2 linked regions of the Astyanax mexicanus genome follow. The protein of the gene in region 1 interacts with the protein of each later gene in a biochemical or structural test. Links are inferred from orthologs where the notes say so. Each region holds a gene or a part of one and is shown on either strand. Other genes may lie near its edges. The genes, in order: card11 and prkcq.

Region 1 (3,930 bases):
GCGCCATTAGAATAGCAATGCGCCAGAGGAAAATCAAAGCACATCTGGTTTTTAAAGGGAATGCAAAGTGACAATTTGATTCTGATCTGATTTATTTCACATTACGCCCAAAACCACAACCATTATTAATTAGGAGAATTAGTACACACCTTTTGCATTTTTCAAGATGTGCAAGGTGTACTTTTCCCATCGTTACGATAGCAAAGACACACTGAAATGCCCAAAATCAAGCTGCATGTTGTGCGGTTGACGTCTTGCCTATAGGTCACTAAAATAGAGCCACGTGTGAGCAAACTGAACTTTTTGTTTGGTCATTTTTTGGTTTGGAAAAACATTAAAATAGACCCATCTGTGCTGTGTGTTGTACCATATACAGCAGTAATATTTTGAGACGATAGGAAAGTATGAATAAATGGATTTCGCCCCACCTCTAACTGTAATAAATACATGCAGCTCAGACATGAAACACAAAACTATCAGACTTATGACTAATGTAAAGGCCTAAAAACTTACTGGTGATATAAGGCATTATCAGAATATGAGCAAATATGACATAGAAACATGATTCATGGTGTGTCAACATGCACAATTAATACTGGTTTCAAACACCGCAGACATGTTTCCTGTGAAGAATGCATTTAGATGACTCTTGCAGAGCTCTCCCGTCATCTCCATTGTTTGATGCTTCAATTGTTCAAACAGTTTCTTATAAATATTGACCAGAAACATGATGGGAACAATCTCTGGATAAATGTAGTTTTGTAGTCTAAATAGTCTGTGATTTGTGAGGCTAAATGACTTTGAGAGAGCAGATTTTGAGCAAATATGACAATGAAAATAATGTGATATGATGTGATATGATACAGATTACAATTCAATATAATGTGATACTGTGAATGATGTGATGTTTTGTGATATTTTAGGAAAACATAGTAGTATATGGATTAAACAAATTATCAAATTTTGATCCAATCAGATCAATGGGATCTGAAAACAGCACTAAAACAAAGAGTTTAATCAGAGTTTAAAATACATAATAAAGTAAACCTCTGTCTTCCACCAATCTTTACCATGTAAAATATATATTTATAAAATGTGTTGCAAAGTTGCAGTGTTGCAAAACATATTATCACAATATGCTACCCGTGATAAAGATGAAATCATGATACTTTGAATCTGTGATACTCAATATATTGCAAGACAATTCTCTATAACTATGAAACTTCACAGCATCTGTGTCATTGAAGAGAATAAAATATTCATAAATAAGAAAATACCAGGAATTCTGGATTTATAGGTGGCACATATGATAAAATAGAAAATATAGTGCATACTTTAGCTTACTCTTGTCTCTTTAAACCATATTCACTTCAACTCTTCCAATTGTAGCACTATTCCAATATTGTAAAAAAAAAAAAAAAAAAAAAAAAAAAAAACATGAACTGCCATAAATTAGAAAATATGAAAATAATATGAAAAAGTTCTGCAGGTAGAACACAACCTCAACACAACTACTTCACAAAAATCTTTTCAAATTGTGCAGCATAATCTTTCTGAAAAAAAAAAACAATAATTATTAAAAGAAGAATACACTAAATAAACAATTGTGTCCACAATAGTAATAAACAATAGAGCCCTAAAAATACCGTACCAGTCAAAAGTTGGGACAAACCTTCTCATTCAGTGTGGCTATAAAGGAACACATAAGAAATCATGTAGTAACTTAAAAGTGTTAAACAAACATTTAGATGGCTTATATCTTGGGACTTAGCTTGTTAACTTGTGGTTTCTGATGCTGGTAACTAGGGGTGGGCGATATGGCTCTAAAATAATATCAAGATATTTCAGGGTATTTTTGCGATAACGATATACTTGGCGATATAGGAAAACTAAAATAATTCATTAATTTCAGGAATATAGTATAATAGTATAACAGTATAATCATAATGTGGCAAAATAAATAATATAGCATAAAATAATATAATGCAGCAAAAAATATTGCAGAATATTCAGTGCATGCATATAAACTGCAACTAAAACAATTATACAATAAATACACCTAAAGCTTCACAGTAAATAATAGACTACTTGTAAGACAGAACAGCCCTATTATCACGATATGGATTTTTAATATCATGGTATATCTGTGTCACGATATATTGTATACAATATAATATTGCCCACCCCTACTGGTTACTCTGATTAACTACTACAACATTTGGTGTTTGGTTTACACCACAGAAGATTGTGTAAATTTAAGTCTTTTAGGGGAACTGAAAAAGCACCTATCTTCAAGTCAATCTCAACTCAACTCAAATTCAAACACTCAAAACTCAAAACTGCTCCAACAAGTACTTCAACTCAAAACCCAGCCTCACACACACAAACTTCCAGATCTTCTTAAAGAGCCTAATAACTCGACTAGGACTTCAATTAACTCAATACTTCTCAACTTAACTCAAGTCATCTCAGTTGCACTCAGCTGTGCTCCAGCAGGTGCAGTTTTTAAGGTTCTCAGGGTTTGAGTTGCGTCGCTGCGCAGCGATGCGCGAGCGCTTCGTCCTCCGTCAACTTCTACCAAACTTGTCCACACAGCTCTCTGCTCTAAACCAGTTCTAAAACCAGCCCAGAACTCACCTGTAGAAGATCCGCTCCCACAACTCAGCACCCAGCACACATTCCGGCCCACGAACCCAGAGGAAGGAGAGGTAAAATCTCAGCCTGGAGCTCAGCTCAGTTCCTCCACTTACACAAACCTTACACCTGACCCACACACACTCAGAGACAGCCGGCCCGCCCACACACAGGGGGCGGGGCTACAGGAGAGTCTACTCAAATACATTAACCCTGTAGAGAGAGATGCTCTATAAACATTACAGTTTCTGGATCAGTTTCTCTGATTTTGCTATTTATAGGTATATGTTTGAGTAAAATGAACATTGTTGTTTTATTCTATAAACTACAGACAACATTTCTCCCAAATTCCAAATAAAAATATCGTCATTTAGAGCATTTATTTATTATAAAATGAGAAATGGCTGAAATAACAAAAAATAAAACGCAGAGCTTTTAGATTTTAAATAATGCAAAGAAAACAAGTTTATATTTATAAAGTTAAAAAGTAAAGTTAATAACAGTTTTTTATGCATCTTGGCATGTTCTCCTCCACCAGTCTTACACACTGCTTTTGGTTAATTTTATGCCACTCACTCCTGGTGCAAAAAAATAAGCAGTTCAGCTTGGTTTGATGGCTTGTGATCATTCGTCTTCCTCTTGATTATATTCCAGAGGTTTGGTAAATTTGGTAAAATCATTGAAAACCCAAAAATCAGTGTCTCAGAAAATTAGAATATTGGTACTTTTGGTACTTTTGGCAGTGTGGGCAGTGTGCCAAGTCCTGCTGGAAAATGAAATCCTCGTTTCTATAAAAATTCTCAGCAGAGGGAGGCATGGAGTGCTGTAAGATTCAAGTTTAGATCACGGGGATTAATGTGGAGGACATTTTTTTACGGTTTACTACATAATTCTATATGTGTCTCTTAATTGTTTTCCTGGATTTAATATGAATCTACAATTTAGAAAATAAATGAATTTAGGAACAATTAATTAAGGTGTGTCCAAATGTTTGACTTGTACTTTAAATTTAAAAGTATTATTATTAATAGTAGGAATATTCACTGTAAATATTTCTTGATAATGTTACAGTAAGTTACATACACACATAACATAAAAGAAGTGTATAATTACAGCATATTACTGTATAATAATAGTAATAATAGTAATTTCCTGTTACCAAATGACACCTTTTTTGGGGTATTTTGTAGCATAAATTAATAAATTATAATGCTGTTATTATTTTTTTCAATAAATAAATTATAGTTAACCTTATACTGCAAAGAATTTAATTGTAAATGAACAGTAAAAAAGCTG
Region 2 (3,930 bases), on another chromosome or scaffold:
AATTTGGATATTATAGTCTCAGCTTTAATATTAATATTAATAATAATAATAATAATAATAATAATAATAATAATAATAATAATAATAATAATTGCCATATTCAATTCCTTAGACGCTTTGCATCCAGAGCCATTGTTTAACAAAAGCTGATAGAATCACATGATCTAGAGAATACTTTACCAACCTTTATCAACAACAAACTGTATTGTCCAGAAACAACGTCCACTTCTCTGAAGACTCAGACGAATCTGGAATGAACCATCACATATTAGAAACATATTGTAAGGGCTGGTAAGGGCCCGGCCTCAGTGTCCTCCAGGGCATCAGAGGGCGCGCCAGGCCAGCGCCGAGGGCTAATTGGCTAATTATCAACACCTGCTTTCAACAGCTTATAAGCAACGCCAACTAGCCACTCGGCGCTGGATCTTTGAAGCTCGTGAGAGCGAATCTATGCCGGTTTTCCGAGCGAGCCCCGGCTCTTTATATTTATCTCTTTCCCTTTCGAGTTTGGTGGAGCTGTGTAGAGCAGTGAGCTCCACGGCCGCCATCTACCTCTCTAGTCTGGTGGAGCAGAGCAGTGTGCTCTCCTCCGCCGTCACTCTCTCTTTGTGTCTGTGTGTGTGTGTGTGTGTGTGGGTGTAGCAGAGGCGAGGCACGCGGTATGCTCACCCTCTCTCTTTCCCTCGCTGTTTCTCCCTTCTCTGGTGAAACAGCATTTAATCCACAATCACCTTAGTTCAGTTTTGTTTTCTTTGGAAGTCCTTTTATTTTAGTTAATCCTTCACCTCGCGCCATAAGAGGTAGCCGCTTCCAGGCGATCCTTAGTTACGTATTCTCCCCCTCTCTCTCACTCACGCTAAGCTTGACTTTTGTTTTCCACCCGTTTTCATCCTCCGCCCGTTTTCATTGCTCCACCCCTTTCGGCGGAGGTCCTTAAGAGTGATTAAAGCGGCCGCGTCCCAATCCGCTCGCTGGTTCAGCGGTTAGAGCATTGGGCCGCGACCGCGACAGCTCGATCCCCGCGTGGAGCGGGGTTTAATAATAATAATAATTATATATATATATATATATATATATATATATATTATATAATATTAATATATATCCTATTAATATATATATTAACGATTATATATTTATTATTATTATTATTATTATTATTATTATCCTTTTTTTTCTTGGGTTTACCTGCTTCGAGATCTACTGCTCTGCACTTGGATTCTACAACCTTCTGGGCTGGAGAGCTACCGCTCCCCAACCCCCTTACACATATACCAGACCCATCTGAATTTTAGTTTTTTAGAAGAAATGGATGAAAAGGACCATCCAGACTGTTATCAGCAACAAATCCAAAAGCCAAGGTCTGTCATAGTATGTGGTTATGTCAGTATCCTTGGTTGTTTAATGTTATTTACATTTATGTGATGGCAATTACACTTAATAAAAAAAAAAAAAAAAAAAAAATTAACACAATTACAGTCAAAAAGGATTTTATCAGCCAAATTCGACATGTTACAAAACATATGTAGCACTGATGGAGTGTTACTGCACAAAGTTGCCCAGGTTGGATATTTTCTGTCTATCTTCTGCTGCTGCTGGTGAGAGGAAATCGGGTGTGTTGGGGGCGGACTGCGGTCACGCACACACACACACACACACACACACACACACGTATACACACTGACACAAGCAACCGTACCGGCATAGTGTGGTATTATTCTGAAGTAAACTTCACCTCCTGTGCTGCTCGCATACACACACACACACACACACATACATGCGCTTACACACGCCTACCAAGTAGAACTTCACCCTCTTCCCCAGCAGCAGGCCATACACTGGGAGCTGGAACTAGAGCAGGCTGCTGCCGGTAAGTGCTTTATTCTCCGTCCTGCATTCTCCACCAATTTCTTCTTCACTTTTTTTTTAAATGCTGTCCACTCTCTCTCTCTGTGTCTACTCTTTCTCTCTCTTCACAAAGACATAATTCAGCCTGATTGTGCTACGGGTTACCACTTACATGGTTAGTAATTTAATTATGCCAAATTTTGTCTTTATAGCATAAAAAGTACGGCTTCTGGAAAAGTTAGAATTTTTGGTTAAAAGTATATGGAAATATTTTGATGTTTTTTATGCGGAAAGTTTTGACCATAACAGTTTTGCTTGTTTACTGACTGTACAAATGTTATATTACATATATTCAAAAGCTTTAGCGCAGCATATCTTCATATACTTGAGTCTGTAAATGAGGAGCGCGCTACTGCTGTCGAAGTCATAAGTGAGGAGCGGTGATGAAACAGGCAGAAACATATGTATAGCTTATCTAGAGTAAGTGTATGTTTTTCTTCTACAGCATCACTTACAGGAAACCACACACACAGTACAGGCAAATTTCATACTCCACCAACCCCAACGCTCCTCACTGTCTGCTCTCATACTGTAGCATCTGCAGCAGCATCCTGCTTTGTACAAAAATGGTGTTCATGCTTAATAATATATCCAATTGAGGTGCTCAGAGAATGTCATTTATTAAGTAATAAAACAGAATGTAGTTCTGTATCTGTTTTTTTTTTGTATACTTTATTATTATCCTCATTCTTTCACCCTGTTCTTCAATGATCAGGACCCCACAGGAGAGACCACCGCAGAGCAGATACTGTATTCTTTGGGTGGTGGGTCATTATTTATCTCAGTACTGCAGTGATTAGCACTGATTATCAAGGTGTATGAGGTGTATGAGGTGTTTTTAAATTTTTAATTAAACCTTTTTTTACCCAGCAAATCATTAACCCTTCTGTTATTTTCTGGGTCTAATTGACCCATTTTAAAGTTTAAAGATCTGGGAAAAATAGTTCTGCTTCCCTGAATTAGTAAAATTAACATATTATCTGCAAATGGTTCATCTCAACTTTTGGCAACCACCTGCAAAAACAGCATGTTAGGCAAGAATGCATTCTGTAAAGGAGGCAAATTTTAGATCTGATTTTAGACTGTAATTTAGTGATATGAGTGGCAAAGGATAAGCTGCTATCTTACCAAATACCTAGATATTTGTATTCGGTGACATGGCATAATTTCGTGCCCCGCAGGATACTATATCTTGGACTGGTGGAGCTTTACAGGTGTTTATCTGTAATTGTAAGGTACAGATGAACTGTTGAACACTATGAAAACTATTTTGAAGTGTATTGGTTACTGACTCTGAAGATGGACCCGTTGCAAAGTGTGTATTTTGATGATGGTACGAGTGAATCATATACAGCAGTGCTGCTGGAGTTTTTAAACACTGTGTTTAATCTCTCACTGTTCACTCACACTATTAGACACTCCTACCTCTATCTGCTTCACCTTGTAGATAAAGTGAAATCAGAGTCAAGTGTTCTAAATCTGTTGCTGCACAGTTTTTACAGTGTTGGTCATCCTCTAGTCCAGGGGTGTCCAAACATTTTTTTTTGTGTCCAAACATTTTTTTTAAATAATACTTTTTTCCTGATTACTTTCATTTACACACCATTTTACTTGACTTACTATCTTTATCTTTGACAGTGTTGTGTAAACTAAGATTTTACAAATTGATGTTTCATTTCATGATGTCTCTTAATATTAAACTCCTTAATTTGACAACTTTTAGACTTTTTTGCCCCTTTTCTGTGCTAGAAATGTGCACTCTCTCCGCTTTTAGACTCTTTGGCCCGTTTCTGACACCTAGAATTCAAACTTTGACTCTCACATTATAAAAACCTGCTTAACAGCGGCCCAACTTTCATTCTATTTCTAAAATACCTCACAGGGCGCTCCAAAAAAGGAAGCGGACCGCAAATGGTCAGCGGGCCGGAGTTTGGCACCCCTGCTCTAGTCCTTCATCACTGCTCACACTGTTGGCAGGATATTTCTGATTGGTTGAGTATTCTCAGTTCAGAAGCAACATTA

The links.
Region 2: of the proteins of card11 (region 1) and prkcq, one has a biochemical effect on the other in vitro, tested with the Homo sapiens proteins (2 studies listed by BioGRID). The link is inferred for Astyanax mexicanus from reciprocal best matches to the Homo sapiens genes CARD11 and PRKCQ.

Annotation. Positions count from the first base shown.
Region 1 is NC_064410.1:55,733,359-55,737,288, reverse strand, and holds the start of card11 (caspase recruitment domain-containing protein 11), read right to left. Parts: upstream 2,795-3,930; 5' UTR 2,638-2,794; intron 1-2,637. UniProt on the Homo sapiens protein: Adapter protein that plays a key role in adaptive immune response by transducing the activation of NF-kappa-B downstream of T-cell receptor (TCR) and B-cell receptor (BCR) engagement.
Region 2 is NC_064409.1:20,909,401-20,913,330, reverse strand, and holds the start of prkcq (protein kinase C theta type), read left to right. Parts: upstream 1-1,724; 5' UTR 1,725-1,870; intron 1,871-3,930. UniProt on the Homo sapiens protein: Calcium-independent, phospholipid- and diacylglycerol (DAG)-dependent serine/threonine-protein kinase that mediates non-redundant functions in T-cell receptor (TCR) signaling, including T-cells activation, proliferation, differentiation and survival, by mediating activation of multiple transcription factors such as NF-kappa-B, JUN, NFATC1 and NFATC2.